Linked DNA regions of Oreochromis niloticus. The protein of the gene in region 2 purifies or fractionates together with the protein of the main gene of each other region. This does not show direct contact. Links are inferred from orthologs where the notes say so. Each region holds a gene or a part of one and is shown on either strand. Other genes may lie near its edges. The genes, in order: vps33a and plekhm1.

Region 1 (16,743 bases), on a different chromosome or scaffold from region 2:
TGTAGTTTAAATTCCCTCAAAAGGTTTTAAATGTACTGTAACTTTGAAAATAGTATCCAAGACCAATTATAATGAACTGTCTTGCCCAAAATGTCATACTGGGCCTTGTTTCTGACATAATTTTAACCCTCAGACTTCATCCTCTATACTTCTCAGGTTAATTGGTAAAAATGACTCAGTCAGGTGGTTGATTCCTCTCTGAGGAGAAGCACATATTCTCTGTTATTTATTAATTTGTTGCTTTTTTTCTGCAAAAATGTTATGAAACCTTTACAATGGGAACTGTGCAAATGGCCACACCATACCGCCAGGAGTAGCTAGTAACAGATCATGTGTGAGATGACAGCAGGAAAGACCAGAGGGAGAGCATCGACTCAAGACTGATCACCATAAGTCATGGGCGCAGCGGGATCTCTCTATAGAGAGAATTTCATATGGGGGTGGAGAGGACCGATTTAGAAACCTGTGTCTCCTCCTCAGGGCCTGAGAGACTAGTCAATACAAATCTGCATCTGTGCATCTTCAGGGGTGTACGTACACACAACTCCCTGAGCACAGCCTGGACGTTTTGCATCAGCTTCTGGCAAACACAGCTATCCATTCTCCTTATACAGTTCAAGAAAATCATCAGCAAGAGTAACCTATTTCGAGTCCAGTCAAGCACTTTCACAGATTAACGTTGTTGTATATCTTTCAATAGTAGGAGTATGACTCATTACTGCAGAATATATGACTGGAAAACAAACAGACTGGAAAAAAGCACCTTGTTACAGTAATGGCTTGAGTTTTCAGTACTTGCAGAAGGGAGAGCTGAGGAAAGCAGGCAGTGACAACAAGTCAGTGGGGCTTCTTTGGAATGATTCACCATGGGCCACGGTAAGTGGGATGTAAGGATAGAGCGAAGCTACTTCCTGTACTGAAATCTGTAAACAAAAGCAAGGATTTACTCAAATAATATTCAAGCACTTTGTGCTCTAACAATACTGCAATTTTTAAATTGACATTGATCATTATGAATGGTTTGCAAATCTATTTTGATGAAGCAGACAAATTAAATAATCAAAATTACTGCCAAATGCTAAACGTATTATCTTATTCCGAATTTGATAGAGGACAACTGTCTGCAGCGTAACCAACGGCTTTATCAATCGCCTGACACCCTGCTACATGTCCTACTTATAAATGTATTAAATATAATGACACTGTAACACTATGAGGTACTACACTTGAATTCCAGGGCAACAATTCCCTCGCCATCCTCCACAAAAGATATTTGTAAAATGGGTTAATGAGAATCAGAGATCAATGCAGATTTACACAATTGGTTTCCCTTTGATTTATATTTCATGTGTTCAAAAACTTTTGAATGCATAATGGAGGTTCTCTTAACAGTCGTACATACTCAACACGCAAAACCAGCAAACAAAGAAACACTTGATTATTGTGAAAAGTGAACGTCATCGCTAAACAAAAGGGTGCAATACAAAATACCACAATTTTTTTTTCAAGTTTTAAGATTAAAATCATAAAGAAAAAAGAAGGACTTAAAGGAGAGTTTAAGAAGTGACGAAACATATTTTACTTCATCCTGATTTTTCCTCCTCTACCATCTGGTCTGGCAGTAAGTCAGATTGTGTTATGTATTATGAAAGAGAACACAGACAGGAGAGTCTTGGTTGGCCTACAGTTTTAGCTCGAGTCCTGTGGTGATCTGGAACATCATGCCTTCTTTTTTAATTCACTTCCTCACACACGGACTTATTTGAGAGCCAAATGCTAATTAAATCCAGCAAAGTAAAACATTCTGGACAGACGGAAGGCGCAAGCAAGCAGCATTGCTGGCATATGGGTGAGCTACTATCACGTCCTGAGAAGTAACCACTACTCGATAAATTTGAGTACGAGATTCGAATGATGGAGAAAATAATTTAATGTTAAAAACCATCTACTTCTGGAAAATGATGGATGGTCTGTAAAAGCAAGCCTATATGTGAGCTATCTATAGACCTTCACTCAAGTTCTCTTCAAAACACGAACTACTCAACAGCATTTTGACTCACTTGTAAGCTACATGTCATCAGAAAAGTACAACCAGCTGCTCCTTCGCAGTCAGCGGTGACGTGTGTGGTAGAAACTGAAGGTCTTTTTTTATAGGCTGTAAAATGTTCTGTGTTATATTGTTGATTAGGCTATAAACACAAGATTGGAGTACACTGCGCAGTAAGGGTCATGAATGGTAATTGACTTGCCACCTTTAGCAGTAAAAAAGAAAAAAACACTGAAACAGGAACACCTGCAACCACAAAGTAAAAAGGAAGAGTCAAATGTGCTCCAGTCATTCGCATCATAAAATCACATCTCTGCATGTTGTAGTTTGGAAGCCAGGATAACCACTTTAGCCCATATTTGTTCTCAACAACTATTAAATGTGTGGGGATAAACAAAAGCTCCTGATTTCAACAGGATGAGTCCGGTAATTTGATAACCCACTCATTTTTATCTGCAGTTTAAGGAGCTGACTTATCACGTGAAATTTACCAACATCTGTTCAATGGATTGCAAAGCTGACACATTATTTTGATTGCACGGTATTGCATGATTGTATTGTGTAAGTGTATACTTTTTTACTTCAAAGCAAGCAGCCCATTCATCTGTAATGTATATTTGGCAGTTCTTAACGCAATTAAAACATCTGATTTCTCAGATTTTATCAAAGGAAACATATCATGACTTGACATTAAATAAAGAGCGACGCCAAATTTAAATAAATTAAATCTAAATCGCAAAATTAAATTTATGATCATTTGGATTTATAAACTAAGTAGCTTAACAGATCTTGATGTCTAATTCTCACAATGTCTCACAGAGTGAGTGGGGAGAGGGTAGGAGCCACCAAAAGGTAGCCACCCACTCCCAGTAGCATGACACAACTCCATCCATCCTCCATAGAGAACTGTGAGATGGCAGCATAGCAACACACTGAAAGTTGGACCTGGGCAACACTATAAAGCACTGCACCGTGAAATGTTCTGCTGCAAGAGGAACACATCACTCAGCATTTCTTAATTATTTACAGCTCCCACCCCCGTTGCCATTCACTCTGTGTAAACCCTCTCCTTAAGGCATTAGTGTACGCTTTATGCTCTGACCACTATCAAACAAGGATTTGGGGAGGAACAGATCACATCGGGTGGAACAGATTGAGAAACTCTGTTTAGGGCAACAGTGTGGATGTTAGTCTTTTAGGTCTGTCGCATTGACAAATTATCCATGCTTTCACTCAGACAATGGCGCTGACAGGGACCATCTGCAGAACCATCTGCGAGGACTCTTCACCTCTCAAATGTGAGAGTGTTGTACCGTTTTAAATACACACAACTACATCCTCTCGGCAGGCAAGGATCCAGGTCCCGCATCGTTGGAGAACAAACAGGAAAAACCATCCAGTGACCAAACAAGCTATCATGCTGATACCCTGCTATAATTGTTGGCTCCATCCAGTCAACCTAAATCTGGCTGGTGAGGATTTTTTTTTTTTTAATTCAGAAATCACAACAAGGCGTACTGAATTTGCAGTCGACATCCGACAGATCCCAGCAATCCTGAGATTTAGCTGAAAACGCCATCTGACCAGCACATTGATGTACATATAATTCAGATTCAACTTTTAGACTCAAAGGGAGCTGAAGAGAAAGTCTGAAACCTTAACCATAAGAAAACAGAGAAAAAGAACAGTTGCTTAATCAACAACAAAACTCCACATGGCATAACATCTGCCATCAGTTAAAGTGCAATACTGCCACCCACTATGTTTAAGTGTCAACCTGATAGTTACTGGTGCTGCACTACTTTTTTGTGTGCATTATTAATATTCTTTAAATATTTCATATTTTAAATATCACAGTTATCACCAACTCTGTTACATCACAAGTCTCCTAATATAGCAGAGAATGCTATTATCCGAGCCTCCTTTTAAAGCTAAGTCAGTAAACAGCTACAGGACGAGGGAACACTCGATTACCGGCACTCTAGCAAGAGCCTGCAGTGAGTTTCGGATTTGCTTGGGTGATGGTGATTCATCCTTGTATGCCCCAGAAGCAAGAGGTGGGACTGGCTGCTGATGCACCGGCCGGTTATGTTCCCTCGGTTTCTTCAAATCTTATGTCAGAGGTAACAGATAGGCGTATTAAATGTCTGTTTGTAGTCTTATGAGACAAAACTACATGGTTGATAAGATGAAAGAAAACACGTCAGGTCTCTTAGTCTTACTGCTGTTACTCTCTCCCCTGTGAAGATCTGGTTCAGCTGTGGGATATCTGACTCTCCCTCTTGTCCCACTAGCAAACTAGCAGGTACAATGCCCCTGGGTGTTTTTAACAAATCTGTGTTGGCAAACTGTTCTGGCCTGGAAGCTGCAACACTAACAGGAAGCTTCTGCGCAACTTTTGACAGAAAAACCTCTGTCGGGAGTCTTTTCTGTAGGCGTCACTCTGAAGACCATCACTGAAGCTGCAACATATGCAAAGCAGGGATTAGAATGAGTGCAATATAAGGGTCAGGGATTGGGAAGGGTAGTGGAAAGGTGGAAAAGGGGTTTCGAGATAAGCTAGTGTTAATTCTATTTTGGATGTTTAACTCCTCACTCTGCTGGGGGAACTTTGTTAAAAGGCCACATTCATTACTTCTGCTTTCTCCAATATGCCACACCATTTAGGCAGCTCGAATCACCACATTTGGATAAGTAAGTGAATCAATGCTTATCCACCGCTGATGAGAATAAGAAGATGAAGCCACTCCCCTCTGGAACTCGGCCGCAAATGGCAGAATAAAGTACCTCCTCTAACAGAATTTAAACACAGAACACAAAATCTGCTGAGATTTACAGTAAAAACTGTGTGATTTAGGCCCGAAGCTGCATGCATAGATGGTGACGAGCACAGAAAACATGGAGTCATGCACCTTTACCAACTGTGGCCATGGTAACAGCAAGATCAGAAGATGAGAATGAGAGTGATTAAACTCCGTGTGTGTGTGTGTGTGTGTGTGTGTGTGTGTGTGTGTGTGTGTGTGTGTGTGTGCGTGTGTGTGTGTGTGTGGAGTGTGTCTGCATAGTAGACCACACCTGTGCCAAATTTTCAGACCCATGCAGACCAGGTCATTGTTACAAATGTTGTAAAGAAACGTGGTTAAAGAAGAAGGGTATGGCTGCCTTGTATGCTTGTGTGTTAAATAATGCATACAGCATGCAAAGCACTTCGTTCCTCCATCTTTCCCCCCCACCTTTTCTCTAACTACCCATCATTCTTGCTCTTTTACTCTTGTTTTATGTGACCAGATGTGAAAACAACTGATCTCCTCCTATATTTTTTCTTAATTTCATTCCTTCTCTAGAAAACAACAATAGGCGAGCAGGCAGGGAGAAAAATACAAAGACAAGGGACATCAGGATAAAGGTGTCATCCAGTCACTACTGGGGCTGCTTATGTGCAAGGATGCAACTGCAGATATCGCTCAGACCATTCATTCAGTCTTTTCTCCCCTCCCCCATTTAATCCACATGCTTCAGGTCTGTAGGAGGAGTTGGGAGATGGTGGAACTGGAAGGCAGAGCCCAGCTTCCTTTCTCTGTCCTCTTTCCATATTAATGTCAGAATAAGAATGAACTAGTCCAACCCATTACAGCACACGCACACACACACACACACACACACACACACACACACACACACACACACACACACACACACACACACACACACACACACACAGATACACACTGCTTTGACATTCCAGGTTTAATAATAATAGCCCCAGGGTGCAGTATAAGATAGCATCACAACAAGTAGTCAACTGAATCACCTGCTCTGTGGCACAGCTGGAGTTGAGAAGCAGCCCTCCCCACATCAGTGATCAGCTTGACGTTTTTCCTCCATAGTCTGCAAGCCTCCAGCGTGCGCTCCTAAAAAATCCTGCAGCAACGCCCAGGGACTGCAACCACACAGTCTCCCACATGACTTACCAGGTCTGTTCTCTTACATCAGATCTACAACAACAAAGCACTTCATTTGCAGGAGGAGCCGGCCTCTAGTCTTGTTTTATTAAATCTTTTTTATAAAGGGAGATGGGGGCTGAACCTACTGAGGTACACCCAGAGTGTAGCCATTCATGAATAAACTTAGTCCATAATCATAACACCAAAGTAGGCAGTAGTAAATCAGTGCAACACCAGCTCTGCATGAATGACAGCAAAAAATAAAATAAATAAATAAAATTCTGCAGCAGGATCACGTCTTCGGAATGATGTCCCCCCCCAAAACCCCCCCACAAAGGATTCACTGAAATGTTCATTGTTATAATTGTAAGCTATAGGTTAATTAACAGCATGCATACTGAGTGCACTGCACACTCCCTCACAATCTTCCCCTTCATTCAAACGACTCAGTAAATAACAGGCTAATAAAAACCCATGATATGTGTTCCAGCAAATTAATAAAAACAGGCAATAAAACGAGCTCCCTAGTAAGCGATTTCTATTCCCCGTGTCTTCTGAATGAAATGCTGCATCCATTCAACTTGCACAGGCTAAAGAGAAATTACAATGGGCTGTCCAAACGCAATAATCTCACAGAAATGTTTCGGGTGAGGATGTAATGTTTGAAAATCCTTCGAAGGAGATCGCACAGCCTACCTGTGAATCCAGCCCTGCCTCTCTCGCCTCTCCTTCTCTCTCAGGGAGCTGTCAGGGAATGATGCGGACTAAATTTCTGTGCAGCGCTCGGATCCGACCACGGAGTTAGTCATTGCGCATGGTGCCCGTCACAAAAGCCTGTGGCTTTATTTATTTATTTTTCCTGGAAGAGTAGTCTGTTGCTGAAATGCACAGTGGATCACCCCAGTGCGTGGGAACTGGTCTTCTATCCTGCGCGGAGGATGGAAAGCCCTTGGTACCCTGGGCAGGAAACCCCTGGATGTGAAGTGATAACACTGATGCTCAAGTAGGCAGTCATCACCTGATCCAATTGTCTCCATAACACAGTGTCTAAATTTGTCTCATCATTCAGCAGTCTGTCTTTATGGCGCGTAAACATGGATTATAGCTTTAAAGTTTGATTTTTAAGCCGTTTTTTATTTGAGTCACTTTTTTTTTTGATTGTATTAAACAACCATTCTTCATATGTATGTGCCAACAAGAATCTTTATGTTTTCTGTATGATAACATTAGCAGAAACTTTTATTTCCCCTGTCACATCTTCTTCTTTTTCTCCTTCTTCTTGTCTTTTTTAAAAGATAGTTTTAACTATGTAATTTTCAAGAAAAAAAAAAGCCAAATTCCAACATCAGTGACTCAATTACAGGAGCTTGCCGGCGATTGAATCCTACTGTGAGGACACTGCGCCATCTAATGGATCCAATAATAATTGCGGAAAAGGATGAATGCATTTCTTTAGCTGAAGGTTTTGAATTATTCTAAAAGGATTCATTATTTTTTTATTATTCTAATAAGTTATTTGTTTGTAACGTGAATGAAATGAACAATCGTCACGGTCATAAATAACCGTAGTCACAGTGGTTATGGCCTGCACTTTGTGGTAGTTACAGTGTAGAGTTGCCACCAATGACTGTAGAAAGCACCTCCTCCCATTGTGCAAAAATGAAGCCAAATCCCGCTTGTGAATTTGGACACAGCTTCCACACCTACTCGCAAAAAGAAGAGTACAGGAGGATTGAAACAGTACCTCCTCTGCGCTTCCTTCATCGTATTTAAAAGCATACTTGAACAGGAAACATTTCTGATGTTATTCTGTCGATGTCTACGCTTAAAAAGTATAATTTAAACAATGCTGAGACTCGGTATGAGACATGAGTATTTCTCTTAGCTGTTTAAGTAATTTTTCTTACCGAGCAACATCTACGCATGCGTGAAACCCGTATTTCCCGTTATGCTATTTTAGTTTTTGCATTTAACTTTTATTTATTATTACCGTAGACTGCAAACAGATAGTGCCGACATGAATTTGTCGGTGCATTAGTGAAGTGGAAGTGTTTGAGTGCACATTTTCACAGTGTTTAGGCTCAATTGTGGCGTTTTCTACAATCACTGGTGTGAACTAGCTTGACTTTCTTTGGTCACATGATGCGACTACGCTGAAGTCACCTGATTTGTTGTGCTGCTAGTAAGGAAAAAATGGCTGCTCACTTGTCGTACGGTAGAGTGAATTTAAACATATTGAGAGAAGCAGCACGAAAAGAGCTTCGAGAGTTTTTGGACAAATGCGCAGGAAGCAAGGTGACAAACCCGCATACGCCTGTGAAATGTAGTCCAAACACTGGTAGTTAATGTGGTCTCTGAGGCTCAGCGTTACCATGCGACTGTCAGTTAACATTATAGTCATAGTTTTATTTTGAATGTGTAAAACAATACAGATAACGCAGACATATTTCTGTGTAGGTGCGTCGTATTATAAAATATTCGAGCTACTAGCTAAGTAACAGTTAGCAAGTATCGCCTGACAGAACATCTTCAGTTCTGCTTACTCACGATTCAAAGCTTTGTGTGCTCTTACTCTTTCTTTAGGCCATAGTTTGGGACGAATATCTGACGGGACCGTTTGGACTAATAGCTCAGTACTCTCTGTTGAAGGTAAGTGCTTTCTGTTTACAAACCCATTTCTAAAAATGTTAGGAAGCCGTGCTTTGTGGGAATGCAATGATTTGCAAATCTCCTAAACCAATATATTATTTACATTAAAAAAATAGAAAACGTCAGAGCTTTCTACTGTTTAATGAAAAAATATTAGGCCATTTTGAGTGTGATGGCAACAAGACAACTGAACGTTGGTACAAGAAGAACAGTCTGGAAAAGTAATTGGTACTAAAATGAAATAGCTGGAGGAACATTTGGCAACAGGTCAGTAACATGATTGGTACATATCAGCCAGAGATTCAGAGAATCTGAAGGAATCTCTGTGGACAAGGGACGAAAAACACTCAGGTGCCGCTGCATTAAAAACACACATGGTTCTGTCATGAAAACCGCTGCATAGGTTCATGAACACTTCCAGAAATAATTGTCTGTGAACACAGATCACCATGCTATCCAAAACTAGAGGTTAAAGGTCTGTCACGCAAAGAAGAAGCCATGGTTGAACATGAAATGCTACTGTCTGCTAATTGTGGAAAACTATTCTGTGGTCAGATGAATTAAGACTTTAAATTATTTTTGCAAAACATGTATGTTGTGTCCTCAGGACTAAACAGAAAAGGCAGCATCTGACTTATTATCAGCACTGAGTTCAAAAACCTGCACCTGTGATGGAGCTGCATTCATGCCTGTGGAATTGGTAGTCTACATATCTAGCAATGCTGAAAACAGGTTTTACATATGCTCCTATCCAGACTGGATAGGACAGCAGTCTTTTTGCACATTTCATCAAAAGACTCCTAAACCGCATTAAGCATCTATTACAACAGCATGCATTCATAGTTGAAGAGTCTACTGAACTGTCCTGCCTACATTCTAGACTTTTCAACAGCTGAAAGCATTTGGCACATCGTGAAATCAAAAATGCAACAAATTAGACTCAGAAGTGTTGACGTATTGGTGTCGCCAAATTAAAAATCATCAAATATTTTTCTTGGTCCATTTTCTTATTTTAAATCTTTTATGTTTTATGTTATTTTCTAGTGTAAAAGAAATATGTGTTCATGAGATTTTCAAATCTTGGAATTCTGTATTTATTTGCACATTATTTTTTGGAAGTGGGTGCACAATTTATGTCTCAATTAACTCAGACAACAGACAAGGCCCACATGTCTTATTATCTAGTTTCTTTTAACACTAATGTCATGTGTCTAATGTTGCTGAGGGTGTTGTTTTAACTTGTCGTTTATTATGGTGTGTTCAGGAACATGAAGTGGAAAAGATGTTCACCCTCAAGCATGGGAGGCTTCCCCCTGCTGATGTCAAAAATATCATCTTTTTTGTCCGGCCCAGACTGGAACTTATGGACATCATTGCAGACAATATAACTAGGTGAGTGTATGTGTCTCATCCTCAATCTGTGATAAAGACAAGGTTTTGTTTTCTTGTCCTTTCTCTCACTTTGCATAGCTATCCACACTTTGCAACATGAATTGTGCTACTCTTTAGTGAGGATAGACACCATTCATCCCGAGACTTTCATATTTTGTTCGTGCCTCGGCGGAGCATGCTGTGCGAACAGCGGCTAAAGGAGCAGGGCGTGCTGGGCTCTTTCATCAACATCGATGAGTATATCCTGGACCTGATTCCCTACGATGGGGACCTGCTGTCCATGGAGTATGAAAGTGCTTTCAGGGTGTGTTCAGGTTGCACAGTACAAATATGTATCATCCACTTGCTTTGGTGGAATCTCTCATATACACATAAATTACTCCCCTTTGTCGCACTCAGGAGTGCTACCTGGAAAATGACCAAACAAGCCTGTACCACACAGCCAAAGGCCTCATGACCTTGCAGGCTCTGTATGGCACCATTCCACAGATATATGGGAAAGGAGAATGTGCACGGGTGAGCATGGTGTAACCTTCAATAATTTCTGTTTTATATGAAAGCAGAGGCTCTGCAGGAGCGAGGTAAATACATTTTTCTGATAAACAAATCCTCTGCTTGTTATCAGCTCGTTGCCAACATGATGTTGAGGATGAAGAGGGAGTTTGCTGGCAGTCAGAATCAGATTCTGCCCGTGTTCGATACCCTACTTCTCCTTGATCGTAACGTTGACCTGCTCACCCCTCTGGCCACACAGCTCACCTATGAGGGTCTCATTGACGAGATTTACGGAATCAATAATGGTATGAATAAATCATTTAGAGTTCTTACTCTTATGTTTGCATGTTGAGCCTCAGTAATATTTATTGTTTCTGACATCTGCATATCCCGCTGTTTCTTTCGGAACTTTATTTTTAATGAAAAGCAGAGCAGGATTACACTTGAACATTAAAATTAATCTTCTTTTTTTCTCCAATATTTGACATATTGCTCATATTGTAGTGTTGAGGTGGAGGTTAGTTTCTCCAGCAGTTTGATGATGTCTGCAGTCTAGTGATCCTTGTTTGGATGCTTGCCTGCAGACATTTCTGTGTGGTAGCTTTTCATGCTAGTACTGTCACTATCCTGAGCCAAAAGTTTTTCAGAGATTTTTCACTATTTTATTTTTAGTCTTTTTTTTAATTCTATGCTTTCACTCCAGGTTATGTCAAGCTGCCTCCTGAGAAGTTTGCACAGAAGAAGCAAGGTGAAGGGAGTAAAGATTTGCCAACAGAGCCCAAGAAGTTACAGCTCAACTCAGCAGAGGAGCTGTATGCAGAAATCCGGGACAAAAATTTTAATGCTGTTGGTGCAGCACTCAGCAAAAAAGCCAAAATAATATCTGCCGCCTTTGAGGTTAGCCTTGTTTTGGATACATTTTTGCTTTTTTTTTTCCCATCTTTGCTTACATGTGGTGATCATAGTGTGAAATTCCCTTCATTCCAATCCGGGTACTTTCGGGGGGCAACATGAGATCAATTTCAGATATTCCTGCTAGGCCAAACAACAAGTAAAGGAGTACTGCACTCCAGTGCATTATAACTGTAGCATGTCAGAGCCTTGAATTTTATTACTGAGGTGTTTTGTGTGATAGTGGTTAAAGATTATTTGGATGCTGCATTATGCTTGTTTCATCTCTTCTTTTGTCTCTCAGGAGCGCCATAATGCCAAAACGGTGGGAGAAATTAAGCAGTTTGTCTCCCAGCTGCCTCACATGCAGGCAGCCCGAAGCTCACTGGCTAACCACACTTCTATAGCCGAGCTGATCAAAGACATCACAAGTGCGTATATAATCCCATGCTTTCCCATCAAATCACATTATGTTTTTTAGCATACATCTCGCTCAGTTTTTGGCTTTTAAGACTTTAAAGACAACTATTTCCATCAATATCCACTACTATGTAGTAAATCATCTATCATCTCATGTTTCAGCATCCGAGGCCTTCTTTGATAATCTAACAGTGGAGCAGGAATTTATGACTGGTGTTGACACAGACAAGGTATTTTTCATCTAGTTACCTATTTTCCTCCCTAAGATAAGTTGTTACAAGTTATCAAACACACACGTATATATTAGGTAAATCTGTTCAACCATTCTCACACGGCTGCAGGTCCATGCATTTAGATACTAAACAAACTGAGCATCTGAAAGGGAGGAAAGGTGATGTAAGTGGCTTTGAACATGACATGGTTGTTGATGCCAGATGAGCTGGTATGAGAATTTCACAACTGCTGATCTCCTGGGAGTTTCCCTACACAACCCTATTTGCATCCTTGATGTACACCCAGCAAATCTGCAGCAACTTTGTGATGCTTTCATTTAAATACAAACTAAAATCTTTGATGAATGTTTCTCCATGGTATAGATCCAACAGGGTTTCCAGCACCTTGTTGAATCTAACCATGAAGAATTAAGGCAGTTCTGAAGGCAAAAGGGAGTCCAACCCAGTAGTAGCAAGGTGTGTTTTTATAGGTGCTGTTTCACAGGATTTTTAGTAAAGTTCACTAAACACCGTAAAATAATGTGACTATGCAGGTGAACACGTATATAGAAGACTGCATTGCCCAGAAGGATCCCCTGATCAAGATCCTGCGTCTGGTGTGTATGCAGTCAGTCTGCAATAATGGCCTCAAACACAAGGTGATGGACTACTACAAGAGGGAGATTCTCCAGGTAAAGACATAAAGAAGCTTTCTCTGCACCCTTGGATTCCTGTCATAATTAAACTGGATGGTTTTTAACTTTTTTCCTCCCCCTGTGTGAAGACCTATGGTTATGAACACATACTGACGCTGAACAACCTAGAGAAGGCTGGTCTTTTAAAGCCACAGACAGGCTCACGGAATAACTACCCCACTATTAGAAAAACCCTTAAACTGTGGATGGAGGACGCCAATGAGCAGGTACTCAATATACAAAAAAAGGAAAGCAGTTAATGGATTAAACTCATGAAAAAGCAAGGGCTGACGTTTGTGAGTTTTTCTGTTCTCTCAGAATCCCAACGACATCTCATACGTGTACAGTGGCTATTCTCCACTTAGCATCCGACTGACTCAGATCTTGGCACGACCTGGGTGGCGCAGCATCGAAGAGGTGCTGAAAATGCTTCCCGGCCCGCACTTTGAGGAGAGACAACAGCTTCCCTCTGGGCTCCATAAGAAACGTAAGGACTAAGAGAAGCTAGGACTGCTCTTTGCCCTGCTGCTCACAACAGAACAAAAACAGCCTCACTCCTGCTCTGTGTAGATAAGACACAGGATTTGTTTATGTCAGATGCTGAATAGCGGCAGATTTATGGCATGTAGCCAATGGTGCCACACAGCCACTGTTAGCTTGTCGTTTTTTTGTGTGCCTTTCTTGATAGAAAGGCTGAAAAACCACTCTGTGCTTGATTTGTGAGTGACAGCCAGTGTTGTCCTTTTGTTTTTCTCCATCTTTATTCCATCTTTTCATTTTGGCAGTAGTAGGTGTTACACTGATGTGAATAATGAATTTAATTATACACTCTGTTTGAAATGTGCTAATTAGAACTGTGTTTGGGCATTAGACAGTTGACTTGTTGCTACATGCCTGCCTTGCATTGGTTTTTAAAGGTGATAATAGAAGACTCTAATCAGGGGGGAGTGTATGACTAAATTAGGGTTTTCACATTTTAAAAAAACCGGTGCTTCAACAGAGGGTGGCTTGCTATTTGCTTTACATTGAGTTGTGTTGTATTAACATTTATATTTGCTAGTATTTAAAGGATTCACCAGGTCAGAGTGGAATTAAGGAAAAACTATAAAATATCCTTTGCTATTGTTAATATATTTAATTTTTATGTTGCATTTTAGTGACTTGCATCTCTCAATGTCCAACAGGCCAGCAGGGAGAGAATCGGACAACGCTGGTGTTCTTCCTCGGCGGTGTGACGTATGCAGAAATAGCTGCTCTCCGTTTCCTCTCTCAAGTGGAAGACAGCGGGATGGAGTATGTTATAGCCACCACAAAACTCGTAAATGGCACAACTTGGATCAAATCCCTCATGGACCGCCCTGAATCCCAGACACAATGAGTCACCTGCACGTACACCTGGCCACATCAAAGAGCCCATCCACCAGAAAAGCTCAGCTACTTTTTTTTTATGTCCACATCACTGTCCTGCAGGTGTTTCATTGATGTCTCTTCCAGTTTAAAGAGAGACCGGCTCTTTAAAAGTTGCCCTGTGAAAATTTCTTTGTCAAAGTAACTGTTACCTGCTATGACACTGCAGTCTTATGCATGTCCACTTTCTAATCGCCTGAGTGATGTCACCCTTTGTTTTGCAAAGTCCTGTTTGCAAAGTCTGATGTTTGTGTCGGCCGTTTTCTTTTCTTGATGTGTTTACCGTGGGGTGGTCTGACTGAGAAATGCTCATAGTACAGCAATTTGTCCATCAAAAGGTAGCTCTGAAGCATAGCTTGCTTTATCATCTGTTTTGCTCCAAACAAGAGTTTAATTAGAATTTACAAAATGAAACATGTTTTTCTTCTCTTAAAAAAAGGCTGAACAAGCAATGGAGACAATTGGGTGATTTTTTTTTTTTTTTTTTTTGCAGAGGACTCGCCCCCTGCTGGACATTAGAGAGAAAGCAGGTTTAGGGCAGCCGGAGGCTACATCTGTCTGTTATATACATTCCATAATCTTTACTGTCCTGCCTTTGAGTTGCACCCGTATTGCGCAATATAAAGGTTTATTGATGTCTAATGAAGATGTCTTTGTCATTTGGTTGTGTTTCCGTCATTGCAGTTATTGCTTTTCTGCTACTGTATATATACTGTATATAGAATTAAAACATATTTGTGATGCCATAGAAGAGTAATGATGCATTTGATTTGCATTTTTGAAAACTAGTAGTTGTCTTTTGTTTGTTTTCCTTTGCTTGGATTAAAAATGGCTAAATAAAGTCTTAAACTATAATTAGTGTCACATTACTTGGTCATGTGATACGCCATTCTGATTACTGTAAATTAGGCAATTTTTGGAAAGGAAAGCTGATTGCAAGCGGATGAAAAGCAGGGATGGGAGTGTATTCCTCAGCAGTGCTCCAGTTCTCTGAAGGAGCAATTAGCGCAGTAACAGGCCTCCTGATCATCCGATAATGGCCCTGTGCTGTCTGGAGAGCTCAGCCCACGGCAGCCCATGATTTGACAGCACAGGACACTGATTGAATTAGGAGGCCATTTGCTCCATGTTCCGGTAGAGGATAACTCTGCGGCAGGAGGGTGTTTGATCTCTGTATCAGTCAATACCTTCTCCGTGCCTGACACTATATATATAGGGAGACCTGCTGACAGCACTCAGATATTTTGGTGACCTCTGTTTGGCTAATCTTTGTAGTTTTTCCTTTGTGCTGCTTGTGTAAAAGTCTTGGAAACTACTTTGGTAAATTATTCAGAGAATACTTAAATCTGTAAATTTTGGCCTGCTGCTTCCTTGAGGAGCAGGTGCAACAACACTTTTATTGCCATTAAATAAATCCCAGGGGATTCAGATCCTTGTGATCAGTTTTTCCTTTTGGCTCCTCCTCTCCCATAAGGGCTTGAAACGCTCAAGACGGCACACATCAACTTGGACTTCAGGGCTAGAAGCACAGGAGCCCTTCTGATCAGCTCCTGTCCTGCTCCATCAACACAAAAGTGTAAGTGTTTCCTTTTTAAAAAAAAGATATTATGCCTTAACCTCATGTGGAATTATCTGGCATTCATGCATGTTTACATTTGTCACTTTATGCACAGTTTTTCTGTTTTTGATAGCAAGATAAAAATTTTAAAGAAGATAACAGACATTAAACTTTCTTTATTTTAACAGGGAGGTATAGTAAAAGTATACATTTTTATAAGCAAAATTTATTGTGACTAACGTGGTTTATGTATGGGTGTGGCTGTTGCTTAATAGTGTGGCAAAAAATTACCTTAAAAAAAAAAGATTCACCATGCAAGAATTTTCTTGTTTTCCTATCCAAAAGCAGTAAAGGTGATGTGAAAGGTGAATTATGATGTTCAGTATATTATTTGCAACTGTTCGCAAACAAAGCAGATCGATACTGAACCCATTTGTGCAACTTGGGGGATAAATTATTAACGGCGGTCTTTCCTCGGCTTTTACATTTACAGGAATAAATAACTTTGCGCTTATGATACAAATTAATATGAAGATGCATCCTGGTGTTTTTGCCTAAATTTCCATACATTAAATTTAATTCATTCATACTGCCGATGTTGTTTGCAGTACATATATGTTTAATGAACTTTCAGCCACCTGTCTTGATTCTAATTCTTTTCTTTTGTACTGAAATCTAACAAATGTGTTTGTTTGAAGAATGGGGCGAGGCCAAAACATGGGACGCCTGACCCAGCTTGGTCGGAGGCAAATGACACAGCAGGAGCCCCAGGATGTGGATCCCTTGTTTATCCGCTTCCTCCGGACATTCAAGGAAATCCTCAAATTTGTTCTCTTCAGTTACACTGTGCTGTTTGGCGCTTTGCTCCTTGCCAGGTGGACCACTTATTTTATGATAGGAAAATAAAGTGAAAACAACTGTTGGAGAATAAGCCAGATCTTGGACTTGAAACTCATTAGTGGTGTTTATCAGGCAGACCTTGGGATTTGCGGCCTATGAAGTTTCCATAAAACGATAATAACAGCTGGATTTA
Region 2 (17,007 bases):
AAGACAGGCTGAATGTGAGGGAGGCCAGACCCTGGAGGTAGCTGAGCAGAACCTCTCGCTCCTCCGGGTTCAGAAGCAAGGCACTGGGCTGATAATGGGCCTTCAGCTTGGAGTCTTCGCGGAACAACGATACGAGGTAGCACTCCAGGAGGCCGTGGTTGAGGGCCAGCCGCAGCCACGCTCGGCAGCGACCCACATCAGTGCCCACAAAGCTGATCTTCTCCAGCTCTGTGACCACATCACTAGTTAAAGAAAGAGTGTGATAAACATATTGCATTTTCACAGAATTATACCTTAAATCAGGCATACTTAAACTTAAGAACGGCATCTCTCAATATGAACTCTGAAAATCTTCAGGGACACTTCTAACCCTTTACTAAAAACTCTGATTTAAACACAAGACTCGGATTAATGACCTCCTGAGGTTTCTGTTCTTCATTTCATTTGATCAATCATCTCTGTTATTCTGTGTAATTCTCTATTAACAGCCTTCTTTTTTGCCAGCTGATAATGATCAGCCAATTTTTAAAATCTTTTGTCTTGTACTTGTTTTGTAAATGGAAATATTAAAACTTGAAAACATTACTCAGGGAACTCAGAAGATTTTAACTTCAAGCTTAACAATTGTAAATTTTTCACAGACCACACAGACAACCTGCATACCTTCAATACCCAAAAGGAAGCTGAGGGCCACACTTTGGGAATCACTGATTTGAATTTCTCAATAACATTGTTATTGAGAAGATTGAACATTGTATGTTCACTTTTCTTCCTTGCAGCCACCACATGCTGCTTTAAAGAGACACACATACACATGAACACACACCAAAACCCCCTCATCCATGAGACACAATACTGTCAGAATTCTTTTTGCCTCCTGGAAGATAGTTTTCCAAGAAGGATATTAATCTATACCTTATTTTATTGGCAACCTGTGCAGGGTGGACCCTGGCTCTCACCCTGTGATAGCAAGGACAGGCCCAGAAAAGTAGTTGTCATCAGATTACTCGATCAATCAGTGGAATAATTGTTAGAATACTTGATTATTCAAGTTGCCTCAAGGCGCTTTGCATAAGGTAAAGACACTACAATAAAATGAACCTGAAATCTAAGATAAAATCTCCAAATGTATTTTTTCCAAAGGGAAAAAGTCCCAAACCCCCAAAGTTTAGGAATAATTGTGCCTTGGTTCTGACTTACCGGTGGGTGACACTCTTGAGGAGGCTCCAGAAAAAAGGCTGAGGGAGGGGTCCACGGTCCCCTTTCCTACTGCTGCTTCGAGACTCTGAGCGGATGTACTTGCTCTTGATACCGTGGATGAAGATGGCCTCCAGGGCACAGCAGAGGAGGTTAGCATCGGAATCATCACTGGTGACTACCGAGTCTGACGCAACATATCGTTTCTGCAGGGCCTTGAGCGACTGCGCCAACTTCTCTTTGATCTAAGAAACAATACATGGAAGAGGAAAAAGATTTTAATAAAACACCTTCCTCATCTGGTTCTGATGGGAAGCAGGCTGTCAAACAAGAAAAAAATTCCTGTTCAACCACATACATAGAAAACATCTTCAAGCATTAACTGGCACTTTTTTCCTGCATTTCATTCCACAGTGTGATGACAAACAAGCAGTTTGAGATCAGCTGTGATGTTATGACACTCAACCTGTATATAACCTCCTGTCACATGTCACCCACTGTCAGCTGATGGGGAAAAAAAATAACAAACACATTACAAACAGACCTACATTATGTAAAAGGTTAGAGGACAAAGGCAGCTTCTTCCACAACACACAAGAACCTTAGTGCTCTTGAGCACTGAAGAACTCTTCCTTTGCTGTGCTTGACCTGTAGAAGAAAAACATCTACAGGTCCCGTTCCAAGCACCTGCACATATACAGTGCATTTATGCAGCGGGGTTATTTTCTGCAAAACTAGAATTACAGGGTTTTTCCAAGATCCAAAATGGGCCAAACAAGCACAGTTTGTCCAACTATACTAACTATACTCAAAGATATGACTTTGTTTCACCTTACCTAATGATCTGAGGTCTCAAAGCCTTGTTAACTAAACATAAATTTTTTCTTTCTTTCTTTGAAACATTTGAAAAAAACATTTGAAAAAAAAAAAAAAAAAAAAAAAAGCCATAACCCTGGGGTTTTCCTGGATGAAAGCAGGCGTCTGGAGGATGACTACACACGGCTGATCCATGGTTACGGAAAATAATATTTGTTATCTAAGCTAACAGAAGTTTCTCCCTGTTATTTTTAGCAATTTTATAAACCAATTTAAAAAAAGTACATATAGACAATAAACTGAACTGGGTTAAGAACACCACTGCACTCTACAGTAAGGGCCAGAGTCGTCTCTACTTTCTGAGGTGGCTGAGGTCTTTCAACATCTGTCGGACAATGCTCAGGATTTTCTGTGAGTCTGTTGTGGCCAGTGCTATCCTCTATGCTGTTGCATGCTGGGGCAGCAAGTTGAGGGTCACAGATCCCAACAGACTCAATAAACTGATCCGCAAGGCCAGTAATGTTGTGCTGATGGAGCTGGACTCCCTTAGAGTGGTGTCTAAGAGGCAGCTGGTGTCCAAGATAAGGACAATGCTGAATAATACCACTCCATTACATGCTGGCTATTCACCGGAGCACGTTCAATGAGAGACTGAAATTACCAAAAAGCACTTCTGCACCACACAGGAAATCATTCCTGCCTGTGGCCATCTCCCTGTACAACTCCTCCATCTACTACACTGTAAATGCTGCAATAGTTACACCCTTTTGCACACTCTCTACACCAGGGTTCAGCAACCCTGAGCACACATGCCACAGCTGGCACGCGAAGTGTTAACTGATGGCACGACCATAGCTGGACTGGCCATCAGGCATACTCATTTTTATGGGCCTATGATTTTTTATTTTTTTTTGTAACGGTATTAAAGGTGGTGTATTGGCCAGATGCTGTATCGATGTGTAAAACCAACTCAGTTGTTTGATGGTGACTATGGTGGAGCTTCCACAGAGGCAACAGGTGGATGAGGGAAAGGGGAGGCAGGAGGAGGAGGAGAGACCCGAGGCGGCCGCCGGTCGGAGCGTCAGGTGAACTGAACTTCAGCTAAGAAGTTATGACCTGCAGTCTATCTGGGTCAGATATAAACCAAGTTTAGGTGGAGTTTATTTTCGTTGTGCTGACTTTTTACAGTCAGTTACAATAACTCGTATTGCGTACTCGCTAGCATGACAGAGTTTCTATACAGCTGGGTGGGTGCTATGATGTTACTGATAGTGAACTTTATTTTATTCATAAGGTTAGTTAGTAGAGTTGCCAACCGTCCTGTAAAAACGGAATCGTCACAAAAGACACAAAGCTGGAGTTTTTCTGCATCTTTACGCTGCACAGCTGTTTCTTCTTCTCTCATTCTCTCCCCCTCCCTCTCCTTTTGCTACTTCAATCATGAAACTGATCAATGATCAGCTGATTGGCTTTTCTCTCTTGTTTGTTTATCGCCCACTTTGCGCCAGAAAGAGGAAACCAGCGGATGTCGCGCTAAACAACAGCAGCACATTTAAGCTTGATCAGCTGTTGTTAGAATTTATTTAATAATAATAATTTCTAGTATCAGCTGATGTTTGCTGGAGCCACAGCTGTAAAAACTGCTGGTCATGATATCGGTTTGGATATGTGGTGAGAGGGAAACATGAAGATGAAACCAGGAGATGTCCTTACTGAATCATCAGAGCTGAACAGGTGATGGAGAAACAGGTTTACCTTTTAGGTGACATGGATGAGTTGAAGGGAAGTTATGAACTGTTTCTGAGAGACAAATAACACCAGGATCCTTTTCTATGTAGCTGACAGCTGGTAACTGTGCAGGGGCGGGTCTAGCAAAGTTTTGCCAGGGGGCCAGGTAGGGCATTAACAGGGAAAGGGGGGCAGCTGGAATCCATAGCTGTGCGTGTTCATGGAGCTTGCATTTTCACCTGCTGGACATCACTACCTGACAAGTTTAACTGTATTCAGAACATTGCAGAGGCATTATTGACAGTATTTGGCTCTACATATCTGTGTGAGCAGATTTTCTCTCACACAAAGAGTGTCTTCAGGTAGCCGTCTGAATGCTGGACACTCGGAGACCTGTGTCTCTGAGTGGGAGACCAGAGATCACATTAACATGTGTATCCCTGTATTAACAAACATGCCATATTGGCTCAGTTTCTTTTTCTTATCATTGTTGTGAGGAGACCATAAATAGCATTTGCATTTTCTGTTGTACAGTTCATTTGCTGTTATGGAGTTCTTGTTATGAATAAAAAGTGTCTTTTTTTTGTTTCAAAATAGCTGATAACTATTCGCTGATAGCTGCAAACATCTGCGAACAAATGTAATTGTAAAGTTGTTCTATATAGTGTGTAACTGTTAATATAGAGCGTTATTAAATTTATTGCTAATGCAATCATATGGCACACTGACTTCTGAGGAAATTTTAGATGGCACTCATCAGAAAGGTTGCCTACCTCTGCTCTACACTAAATAGCAAATGACAAAGTTCACAGGTTAAAGTTAAATGTCAATCATATATATTCAACCATTGTAATATTCTCACCTCTGCAATACTCTTGATATTTATAATTGAGCGATTTGTATATATATTAGTGCTATTTCTTAAATTTGTAACCTTTGTAACATATTGCATTATTTATGTAGTTTAGTCTGTTACTGTCTTGGAGCAACTTTAACCCACATAATTTCCTTAGGGATTATGAAAGTACTCTGATTCTGAAGTCTACGATTCAGGCTAGAGTTAGACAGGGCTCTCAAAGAGTAGCCCACAGACCAGTGGCAGCCCTTGGCAGTTAATAACACAGTTTAGGTTATACAATCATATACAGTGCACAACAAATCTTTGCAATATGAATGATGTTGAGGAGTTTAATTGTGGTTAGTGGTTAAAAAAAGCCAAACAGACACAGTTGGAGCAATAACAACATGTTTAACATAACACAGCTTTGATGGTGAGAGGTGACGGTCTCACACGTTGTCATTATTTAGTTTCAAGAAACACGGGGTGATTCATTTAAATCTCAGAGTTATAATCTATAGTCACACTGAAAATAAACTAATGCTGCATGTATTAAGTATAAGAAAGCCAATGTGTGAGTAAAAATATTAAGTAAACAGCAAATATTAGCCAGATCTATTCCTTGTTAAGTAATTCAGCTTTGTACTGCAGTGGTTTTATATTACAGTTCACCACAGACACAAAAGCACAAAAAGTGCTAACAGCAAGTTCCTGATTCCTGACACGATCACCCGGGCCTGATGCATCAGTTAGGTCTATTAAAAAAACTTGAAATAATTCTGAAATATGTGAAAATATTTCACATTAATTGTTCAATACTTGGCTCTTGGGTTAATTTATCTAAGTAAGTAAGACCCTCTGAGACAAAACATGTCCACCACTGATCTAAAGGAATAGAACTTGTTAAAAGTTTCTTAGGTTAACCATCATTCAGCCCTTCAATGCAGGTCCCCTGAAGCATGCACAACAAGAGCAGAGGGGTCCATCTGGGCCTCTTTTTTCCTTCCTGTCTGTACCTGAAGACCTCCTGTACTCCTGGGTGAGACTACACCTATGCAAGACCAGCTTCACTATTAAACATAATTAAAATCCTCTGTTGATAAGCTTAGCACCGGGATTATGATGCATTTCCTCTGCTGCATCCCCTATTAGTGGCCTTTCAAAACAGGCTGTGCTGTTTTTGTTTTTTCTTTTGGAGGACCCCATGTCCCCCACGACCTAAACATCAGTGGGTTTTTTCCCCCCCATTTGTTTAAGGCTTTCTGGGGAAAACTGAAATGCAAGACAAGATTTATGAATAATTTTCCATAACTCGCCAGTCCAATCTCCAGCTTTGTACTTTCCTGCTGCATACTGTATTTTAGTCTGCAACAAAACTGTAAATAAAGTCACTGATCAACACAGAGAGCAGTTCTGTCTGTGGTGTAATGCCCAGCGTACTTTGCATTACAACACAAACTACTTAAATATCACAAGCCAACTCTCACGCTATCTCACCAGCAGAGAAAGAAGCCAGACAGAAGTGAAATCCGCAACGTGAAAAGAGCTGACTCTTACCTTTTTAACATCTTTAGCCTCGTGTGGAGCTTCAGTCTGCGTGGCGAGCATGGCACCTCCTGGAATGAGTTACTCCAACATGGCACACTGAAACACACAAAAAAGACCTGCCCTTTTGGCACTTGCAGGCTTGACTAACAACGACCTAACGAGTCATGCGAGTTTGTATCCTGAATATGACCACGCCGACGAGCCAGACATGTGACGAGAAGGAAACGATTTTCCCTCTTCACATCGAGTTTTCAGAATTTCCTATCACGAGTCTGTGCTCTGTGACATTATCTGCCATTTCATGCTTTCTGTGAGTAGCCCATGGGTCATGTGAAGCACAGATTAAAGAGGACGTCTGCAGGGAAGTAGCTTCTTACTTCCCCAATAAAAACTAGGAGGCACTCTGATAACTAATCAGCATGTAATCCAACCACCCTGACATCATCACATCCAAATAAGATTGCGTTAAATACATCAAGTGCTGGGCTATCAGCAAACAAAGTACTGTTTACCAAACAGTGGCTAGTTAATAGTTTCGTTTTAAACACCCAAAGCGACATTTAGAAGCATTTGTTTTCTCTGCAGACGCTTTGCAGTGACGAGCACTGGGCGTGTGTGCATTAATGACAGAAATGCACGACCGAAACACTGTAAATTAAACAAATAAAATAAAAAATCAATTTAAAAAAGCTGTGTAAATAACGAAATGTCTATCAGCTATGTTATAATATTAAAATCAGACGCTGTCGGCGGCTTTTACTAGCTAAGTTTTGCTTACCGAAACAAACAGCCTGGCTAACAGGTCGAAAAACAAGCGCGTGTCCTCCTTAAATTAACGTAAACACGTGAGCTGCACGTTAGAGGAACACAAATCCGTGCAGTCGCTCTCCATCGCTTCCAAAACACCTAAAAATAGAGCAGAAGTTAGCTCGACTTTAGACGCTCGACTGTCACCATCCAACTGAAGAAGAAATGCATCATGGGAACTCAGACTAGTGATGCGTTCATGCTCCATCACAAATGCTGTGAAACTGGGCTTATTCTCATGGATTCTCTTCTTGTCGAGCTTTTTCTTCTTCGTGAGCTTCTTTATGATTTTCTTGATCTTCTTCTCATTCTCCTCTTCATCCTCTTCAAGGACACAGTGGATCATCTATTTCACCCTATCTTAAGCATCCTCTTCTGTCACACCAACCCTCTGCATGTCCTTCTTCACTACATCCAAGAACGACCTCCGTGGTCTTCCTCTTTTCCTCCTGCCTGGCAGCTCCATCTTCAACATCTTCTGCCCAGCATATGCAGTATCTCTTGTCTGCACATGTCCAAACCATCTCAACCTTATCTCTCTAACTTTATCTCTAATGTGCTTGACCTGAGCTTTGTCTCTGACATGTGCATTTCCAGTCTGATTATTTGCACAGAAAACCTTAACATCTCCAGCTCAGTCTTCTCTCTTTTTGTCGAAGTCACCACCTCCAAACCATAAATCATAGCAGGTCTCTTTCCTGTCTTTTAAACCTTCCCTTATGGCTCGTACCTCTAGGTCCTCTTCCACCTGCTCCCTACTCTCACTACAGATTGCAATGTCATCTGCGAGCATCGCAGCCAATGGAAACTCTTGCCTGAACTTATTCCTCAGTCTATATGACAAAAAATAAATAAATAATAATTTATTGACATTATTTGTGTCACTGCATGCCTACCCTGCCCTGACATTAAAATTATTCTTCATGAATTGTAAAAATGACCCGTTTCTCCTCCTATGTTATTTAAACTGACTTAGAAGTGACAAATTATAGCTATTAGCTTTATGACTTTTACATTTAAAAAAAAAAACCCAAAAAACATAAATGGCTATTTTGCCCTTCTGGATGATAAAATGGTTTATCACCCAGAAGATAAACCATTCTATCATGGTATTTGAACAGAGTTAAACCCAAGTAGCTTAATAACATGAAAATAACAAAAATAAAAGAAAGAAAAAAGCTCAATTAAATAGAAAATATAAATAGAATAAAATTGTTTTATCTGTTGTACATGCTTTTAGCTTATTTTTTATAAGGATTTTAATGTGGCAGGAGTTAAATAGAGCATGTTTGCATTTCACCATCTAAACATGAGCTCCAACTCAAGTTGATTTCCATTCCTCTGGCGAGATTTCATTTTCACTGTCGACATATTTTTTTATTGTGTCTCATGGTTTCCGGGTTATTTTTTATTTAAGACAACACATTAAAAAAAAAACAAAATCAACATGCAGTAGGTTAACTACTAACCTTAACTAAAGGTAAACAGAAGCGGTAAAACAAACAAAAAAACAAAAAAACAAAACAAACCCAAAGTGGAAGCTGTAGTTTACGAGTAACACTTAAAGACGACATAGTGGTTTTATTGTTGTCGACGCCAGAGGACTTTCTGTTCTCCGTTCTCAGCTCCTGCCCTGCTAAAGACTTTTCATATCACACTCTGCAACTTATAAACTACTCCATCACATAGCCTCACCACCGAAACAATATATTGCCAGTATATTTGGCTTTTTATTGGTTTCAGAAACTCAAAAAAAACATAAACTTCAATCACTCTATACTCCTTTCTTATCCTCTGTAATCAGTCGTATTTGAAAATAAAAGCAAACGTGCGTAAGGAAGTTTCGTGCACATCTACTTTCATTTTCCTTCGTGTCTACAGACACAGCACTGATGTGTGTGTGTCCAAACCGTCAATGCATTTGTGTCTACCAATTTAAAGATTTTAACTGACTGTTTGATCTTTTTTTTCCTTTTCTTTTTTTTTAAATTAGCTACCTTAATGTCTTGCAAACTGCCGAGAAGGTAAAGACTCCCTGAAAAACATTGCTGTAAATCTCCTATCTTCAATTTTCCCAGATTAAAATCAAGAAGTAAAAACAGATTTCGGATAAATAAACTTTTACTTGACAGTAATTAAATTACATTTAAACTAACTGAACTAATTAAACTAATTAAACGACTATTGTTCTACGTTTACTTTAAAATCGCCTAAAGGTTTCATATTAATCTCAAGCATTAAGAGATGGACATAGTTAGAGGAGGAGATTTTTGTTTTTATGCTTTATGTGGTAACTTGACGTCATCTCATGGTGCTGCTGCCTCAGTTTTTTTTATATCATAGACAATTTTTATACACAATTATCCCAAAGAACACATATTAAAACTGAAAACGATGACATAAATCTGCTATGTTTTTACTTTTGAGACGTGTGCCAGCCTGTGAGGACTTTCCAGCTGATTAGAAAATGAAATAGGTGTGTCCTTGGGCTCTGCTATAAATGAAGCGCTGGAGGTTTGCTCCATCAGAACACCAGGAGACCTGAGAATTTGCTTCACACTAAGGAAATTTCTACATTTTTCAAAAATGATCAGCAGGATTTTCATCGCTTGCCTGTTTCTCGGGATGTACAGTACGGGCTCCTCGCTAAGTTGCAAATGGATTGTAAAACATCCAGGAAACACAAAGAGTCAATTCAGTCTGTACAACAAAATAGCTTTAGATTTCCTTGATATGATGGTGAGTGCACTTCTTTGCATAATGTTTAATGTGGTATTGATTTAAATAGTTTGATTAGTTCCATGCATGTGATGTGTGTGCGTTTTGTGTGTGATGCAGATTACTAACACCACTAAGGATGCTGAAATTGAGCACAACGTAGCTTTCCCTAATCGACTGTATCGCCAGACGTCCAAAGCAACAGTAAGTCATCCCTAACTTTTTACATAAAGTTGTTTCTTTTTTTGTTGGAAGAACTGAAAGTGTCGTGATGGCAAATCTACAAAAGTTTGTCTTTACCTATATATAGACTATAGCTATTAAAAGGGTCGTAGGGATTCTCTCCCACAGAGCCAAGGGAGTTGTCTATTATCATGACTCTGTCATAACTCCTGTGTATAATTCAAGGACAAAAATACAAAGAACTCATTTTCAACCATTTATTCCTGTGCAAACTAAGATATATCTGGGAAAATTTTCATTGCTGTGTGGATTCATGTTCTTTGACTTTCTAAGCCATCCATCTTCAAGTGTCACAAAAGTATTCCTATAGTAATCTCTTCTTTTTCTTCTTCTTCTTCTTTTTCCAGGCTGAGGATAAACTGGCTTTCACAGTTCAGATTCTGAAGGAGCTGCTTGCCCTGTTTGAGGAGGATCACAGCTCTGCATCATGGGAGGAGAACACAGTGGAGAACTTTCTCAATATAGTCGACAAACAGACTGAAGAGCTTCACTCCTGTGTAAGTTCACTTTCATTCGTTTTTGTAATTTTACAATGAATTCAGTCTCTATTATGTAAAAGACCTGACAACTGCGAATAAGTTAAAGTGGTGAATGATTTATTTAAATATATTTTGTTTTATTTCTCTTGATTTACTTAGATTGGAAGCCACAGCAATACCACACAGAAGGGGCAACAGCTGTCTTTTAGGAGAGAAAAGTATTTCAAGAGACTCTTAAATAAAATCCTAAAGAAAAATGTAAGCCTGCATTATTTTTACTGAGCCTGTATTTAGATATGACAGATATTTCACCTCTGGTATTTTAATAATAATAATATTGTTTTGTCTGTAGGGTTACAGTGCTGAAGCCTGGGAGAAGATCAGGAACATAACACAAGCCCATCTGAGACAATGTGAATTTCTTATATCTCTGAGAACTGCCCACTGAAAGTTGTCTGTCGGATACATTTTTTTAAAAAGTATTTGTTAATTTATTGTTAAATTATATCTTAGTTGGTTTAATTTATTTATTGTATTTATGATATTTACACTATTATTTATTTTTAATATTTGTGTATTATTCATTTATTTATTTGTTTTGTAAATTTTCATTAAAATAAACTATTTCATATTATTTTATATGTTACATTGAATAATTATTATCTTATTTCACTCATCCCTGATCCCGAGTGGACACTCCACCCTTTTCTGGCTGAGCACCATGGCCTTAGATTTGGAGGTGCTGATTCTCATTCCCACCTCTTCACATTTGGCTGTGCACCATTCCAGTGTGAGCTGGAAGTCATCAGCCGATGAAGCCAATAGAACCACATCATATACGAAATGCAGAGCTGAGATTCAGAGAATACCTAAGTAAAAACCTTCCGCCACTTGGCTACACCTAGAAATTCTCTAAATAAAAACTATGAACAGAATCCGTGACAAGGGCAGCCCTGGTGGAATCCATCACCCACCGAAAACCAGTCCAACTTATTGCCGGCTATGTGGACCAAGCTCCTGAAATGGTTGTATGAGAATCGAATGGCCCATAGCAATGAGCCAAACAGCCCATACTCCTGAAGCACCTTCCACAGGACACTCTGAGGGACATGGTCGAGTGCCTTCTCCAGATCCGCCAAGCCAATGTAGACTGGTTGGGCAAACTCCCATGCATCCTCAAGTATCCTCGAGAGGATAAAGAGCTGGTCCAGTGTTCCATAACCAGGGTGAAAACTGCATTGTCCAAGGTTTGACTAATTGCCACCTCAGAGGTACCACCCCTGATCTCCAGGCATGTCAAGCAAAACAGCCCTACAACATCCAGAGCCTTCAGGAACTTAGGGCGAACCTCATCCACCCAGGGGCCCTGCCACCAAGGAGTTGTTTAACTGGCTCAGTCACGTCATCCCCAGAGATAGATGAGTGGCTCCCTTCATCTCTGACTCTGCCAGTGGGATTAAGGAGGTCCTCGAAGTAATCCTTCCACCACCCAAAAATGTTGTCAGTTGAAGTTAGCAGTGCTCCACCTGCAGTGCAGGTAGAGCATCGCTTTTCTCTCCTGAGTTGCCTGATGGTTTGGTTCAAGGTTCAAGGTAACTTTATTTATACCCATAGGCAAGGTAAATTTGCTTTACAGAAAAATGATAGCATTTGGCATCCCTTCAAAAACACACATACATAATAAAAATATAAACCTCACTGTAGCACATATATAGTAATTTAACGTTTCGAATCAAAAACAAAAACAGTTCTTATTTAATTCAGTGACAGCAACAGGGACAAAGCTGTTTTAAAACGCTTTGTCCTGCATCTTGGAAATAGAAACCTCCGCCCTGACCAAACCATGCGACCAAACAAAAGGATAAAACAGACTCAATAAAAGAACGATAAAACAAAGTTAACATTTTTTGGTCAATATGGAAATGAGCAAGTTTCCTAAGGCAATAAAGGTGCTGGTGACCCTTTTTACAAACTGATTTGCAATTCTGATCAAAGTTCAGTTTTTCATTGATTATGGTCCCAAGATATTTATATGATTGCACTTGCTCTATTTTCTGACCTTTAATTAAAGTGACTCTGTGCCCATTTTGTTGTTTCCTAAAATCAATAACCATATCTTTTGTTTTAGATATGTTCAGCTGGAGATAAGACTCCTCACACCACTGAACAAAGTCATCAATGACTGGACCGTGGTTAGTTTCACCCTCTTTCAGTAAGCTGCCAATAACAGAGTCATCTGCATATTTAATGATGGCCCTGTTTTCATATCTGCTCTGACACATGTTTGTATAGAGAATGAATAATAAGGGCGATAAGACACACCCTTGAGGAGAATCTGTGGAGGAGAACACTGGGTCAGACAGAACCCCATTTATTCTCACTCTTTGTGACCTGTCAGTTAAAAAATCTAAAATCCAGCCCACCAGGTTTTTCTTGATTTCAAACTGTTCTAAAAGTCTTTTAATTAAAATATGGGGCTGTATTGTATTAAAAGCCGAAGAAAAATCAATGAAAAGAAGTCTTGCAAAAGTCCCTTTACTCTCTACATGTTTAAGAATCAGATTTAGTAAAGTCAAAAGTGTGTCCTCCACTCCTCTATTGCTGCATTGGATCCAGCTGATGTTCAATCTCTTTCATAATCACATTTCTGATGATTTTTTCAAAGACTTTCATTACAACTGAAGTGAGGGCAACAGGCCTGAAGTCGTTTAGAATTTTTGAACGACTAGATTTAGGGACAGGAACTACAACTGCTTCTTTCCAAAGAGAGGGCACATGTTGTGTTTGCAAGGATTTATTAAAAATAACCTGAAATATAGGACTGAGTTCTTCAGCACAAGATTTAATTAGGCGGCCACTAATATTATCAGGACCCTGGCTATTGTTCACATTAACTGTATGAAAGGCCTTTTTGACATAGCTGAGTTCAATGATAAAGTGCTGAGTATCTCTCAGTTTCTGTTTCAGTTCCAAAATATCCTTGCTAAAATCAGAAGAACTAAAACAAGCATAAAACATATTTAAAGCATTTGCAAAATCTCTGTCTGAATTAAAACCATCTAAAATGATCTGACTACTGCTCTGAGGATTTTGAAACCCTGCTATGGTTTTCATACAAGTCCAGGCAGACCCAAAATTTTATTGCAGCAAATTTGCTTTCAAGAAGGTTTTTGTAGCTCTGTTTTGCTTTCAAGATCTCGATTTTCAGGTCCTTGGTGGCTGTCTGAAAATCAGTAACAGCCCCCTCTTTTTCCTTAAACAGGATTTGACGCTTTTGGTGACCCGTGGCTTATTGTTAGCGTACACACGCGCTTACGGGGTATAATCATGTCTTTACAAAATACTGCATAAGAGCTAGTAACATCCACCAAAGCGTCAAGATCATCTCCACAATACTGAATAAAAACTTCCCAATCTTAAAACATTCCTGCAAGGTAAGCACAGATTCTTCTGACCATACGTCAACATCCTTAGTCTTTGTCTTCTATCGTTTTAAGACAGTTTTATAGATGGGCAGAAGATGCACACAGTTATGGTCAGCAAATCCCAGAGGAGGAAGCGGGAGGGATTTATAAGCATTCTTCACCGATCCGTACCAAAGGTCCAACATTTTATCCCGTCTGGTAGGACAGGATACATATTGATACAAATTGCCCAAAGTTGATTTCAATTCAATTCAATTCAATTCAATTTTATTTATATAGCGCCAAATCACAACAAAAGTCGCCTCAAGGCGCTTTATATTGTACAGTAGATAGCACAATAATAAATACAGAGAAAAGCCCAACAATCATATGACCCCCTATGAGCAAGCACTTTGGCGACAGTGGGAAGGAAAAACTCCCTTTTAACAGGAAGAAACCTCCGGCAGAACCAGGCTCAGGGAGGGGCGGCCATCTGCTGCGACCGGTTGGGGTGAAGAAGGAAAACAGGATAAAGACATGCTGTGGAAGAGAGACAGAGATTAATAACAGATATGATTCGATGCAGAGAGGTCTATTAACACATAGTGAGTGAGAAAGGTGAGTGGAAGGGAAAAACTCAGTGCATCATGGGAATCCCCGGCAGCCTACGTCTATTGCAGCATAACTAAGGGAGGATTCAGGGTCACCTGGTCCAGCCCTAACTATATGCTTTAGCAAAAAGGAAAGTTTTAAGCCTAATCTTGAAAGTAGAGATAGTGTCTGTCTCCCGAATCCAAACTGGAAGCTGGTTCCACAGAAGAGGGGCCTGAAAACTGAAGGCTCTGCCTCCCATTCTACTTTTAAATACTCTAGGAACAACAAGTAAGCCTGCAGAGCGAGAGCGAAGTGCTCTAATGGGGTGATATGGTACTACAAGGTCATTAAGATAAGATGGGGCCTGATTATTTAAGACTTTGTATGTGAGGAGCAGGATTTTGAATTCAATTCTGGATTTAACAGGAAGCCAATGAAGGGAAGCCAAAACAGGAGAAATATGCTCTCTCTTTCTAGTCCCTGTCAGTACCCTTGCTGCAGCATTTTGGATCAGCTGAAGGCTTTTCAGTGAGTTTTTAGGACATCCTGATAATAAAGAATTACAGTAGTCCAGCCTGGAAGTAATAAATGCATGAACTAGTTTTTCAGCATCACTCTGAGACAGGATATTTCTAATTTTAGAGATGTTGCGCAAATGGAAGAAAGCAGTCTTACATATTTGTTTAATATGTGCATTGAAGGACATGTCCTGGTCAAAAATGACTCCAAGGTTCCTCACAGTGTTACTGGAGGCCGAGGTAATGCCATCCAGAGTAAGAATCTGCTTAGATACCATAGTTCTAAGATTTTCAGGGCCGAGTACAATAACCTCAGTTTTATCTGAATTAAGAAGCAGAAAGTTAGCGGCCATCCAGCTCTTTATGTCTTTAAGACATTCCTGCAGTTTCACTAATTGGTGTGTGTTACCTGGCTTCATGGATAGATAGAGCTGCGTGTCATCTGCATAGCAGTGAAAATTTATGCTATGTCTTCTAATGATGCTGCCTAAGGGAAGCATGTATAATGTAAATAGAATTGGTCCTAGCACTGAACCCTGTGGAACTCCATAATTGACCTTAGTGTGTGAAGAGGACTCTCCATTTACTTGAACAAATTGGAGTCTATTAGATAGATATGATACAAACCACTGCAGCACAGTACCTGTAATACCTACAGCATGTTCTAATCGCTCTAATAGGATATTATGGTCAACAGTATCAAACGCAGCACTGAGGTCTAGCAGGACAAGCACAGAGATGAGTCCACTGTCAGAGGCCATAAGAAGATCATTTGTAACCTTCACTAAAGCTGTTTCTGTGCTGTGATGAGCTCTGAAACCTGACTGAAACTCTTCAAATAAGCCATTCCTCTGCAGATGATCTGTTAGCTGTTTGACAACTACTCTTTCAAGGATTTTTGATATGAAAGGAAGGTTGGAGATTGGCCTATAATTAGCTAAGACAGCTGGGTCTAGAGATGGCTTTTTAAGTAAAGGTTTAACTACAGCCACCTTGAAGGCCTGTGGTACATAGCCGATTATTAGAGATAGGTTGATCATATTTAAGATTGAAGAATTAATTAATGGCAGGACTTCTTTGAGCAGTTTTGTAGGAATGGGGTCTAAAAGACACGTTGATGGTTTGGAGGAATTAATTATTGAAGTTAACTCAGAAAGATCAATTGGAGAAAAAGAGTCTAACTTAACACCGATGGTACTAAAAGTAGCTGTAGATAATATTACATCTGTGGGATGATTATTGGTAATTTTTTCTCTAATGATAAAAATTTTATTTGTGAAGAAGTTCATGAGTTAAGAGAGACATGGCTGAAGTCCCCCATTATAAAGTTTGGGGCGTCAGGAGAGAGCGCCTGCAGCTTCTGCACTACGTCTGAGATGATGCCGCAGGTGGAGGCGGGGTGAGCCCTCGGGTGAATGTAAACTATGGTAATAAAAAGTTGTGGAAACTCACGAGGGAGGGCGCAGTGACAGGGATAAAAGTTCAACATCTGGTGTATGGCGTTATTTTCGTGCCACTATTCTGAACGCACGTAAAAAAAAAACATTGAGAGCACGTAAAAAAATTTTTTGCAGGTGCAAGTGTTGCATTTTGAGGAGAAATTTATTTTGAGCGAAAAAAAGCTAAATTTGAGTGAACAAAATTCATTGCTGCCTGCAAAAAATGTATTTCACTGTTTGCTATTATCCATACACACACACAATAGCAGTTCCTCTCGCTCAGTTTTTGCATTTGCGCTTGCTCGCAATGTGTTGCTTGCGCTCTCAACATTTCTGCCCGTGCGCGTTCAACTCTTTCTGTACAGTGTACAGATAGAGTTGAACTGAAATACATTTTCTGCACGCAGCAATGAATTTTGTTCACTCAAATTTAGCTTTTCTTCGCTCAAAATAAATTTCTCCTCAAAATGCAACACTTGCACCTGCAATTTTTTTTTTTTTTTTTTTTTACGTGCGCTCAGAATAGTGGCACAAAAATAACACCATACTGGTGTACAAATACACTCGCTAACAGTTACAGCGCTACAGTAACGTTTGTTCACATACAAGCATACCCTCCTTGGAATTTCCCTGTTACCCGTGCATCCCGATCCCGGCGAAAAGGAGTTCCAATTTTTC

Evidence for each region.
Region 1: the proteins of plekhm1 (region 2) and vps33a purify together in Homo sapiens (affinity purification with western blotting; 3 studies listed by BioGRID and IntAct, with this or other methods). This does not show direct contact. The link is inferred for Oreochromis niloticus from reciprocal best matches to the Homo sapiens genes PLEKHM1 and VPS33A.

The regions. Positions count from the first base shown.
Region 1 is NC_031977.2:12,412,692-12,429,434, reverse strand, and holds vps33a (vacuolar protein sorting-associated protein 33A), read left to right. Parts: upstream 1-8,120; 5' UTR 8,121-8,184; coding exon 8,185-8,286; intron 8,287-8,363; exon of another isoform or gene 8,364-8,448; intron 8,449-8,574; coding exon 8,575-8,640; intron 8,641-9,904; coding exon 9,905-10,032; intron 10,033-10,149; coding exon 10,150-10,336; intron 10,337-10,431; coding exon 10,432-10,548; intron 10,549-10,657; coding exon 10,658-10,832; intron 10,833-11,230; coding exon 11,231-11,424; intron 11,425-11,722; coding exon 11,723-11,849; intron 11,850-12,000; coding exon 12,001-12,068; intron 12,069-12,604; coding exon 12,605-12,742; intron 12,743-12,834; coding exon 12,835-12,972; intron 12,973-13,063; coding exon 13,064-13,232; intron 13,233-13,929; coding exon 13,930-14,123; 3' UTR 14,124-15,007; downstream 15,008-16,743.
Region 2 is NC_031973.2:6,819,074-6,836,080, forward strand, and holds the start of plekhm1 (pleckstrin homology domain-containing family M member 1), read right to left. Parts: upstream 7,118-17,007; 5' UTR 6,906-7,117; intron 6,899-6,905; exon of another isoform or gene 6,224-6,898; 5' UTR 6,188-6,223; coding exon 6,137-6,187; intron 1,443-6,136; coding exon 1,201-1,442; intron 243-1,200; coding exon 1-242. Other genes in the region: interferon a3-like, read left to right, coding at 9,521-9,673, 9,773-9,856. UniProt on the Homo sapiens protein: Acts as a multivalent adapter protein that regulates Rab7-dependent and HOPS complex-dependent fusion events in the endolysosomal system and couples autophagic and the endocytic trafficking pathways.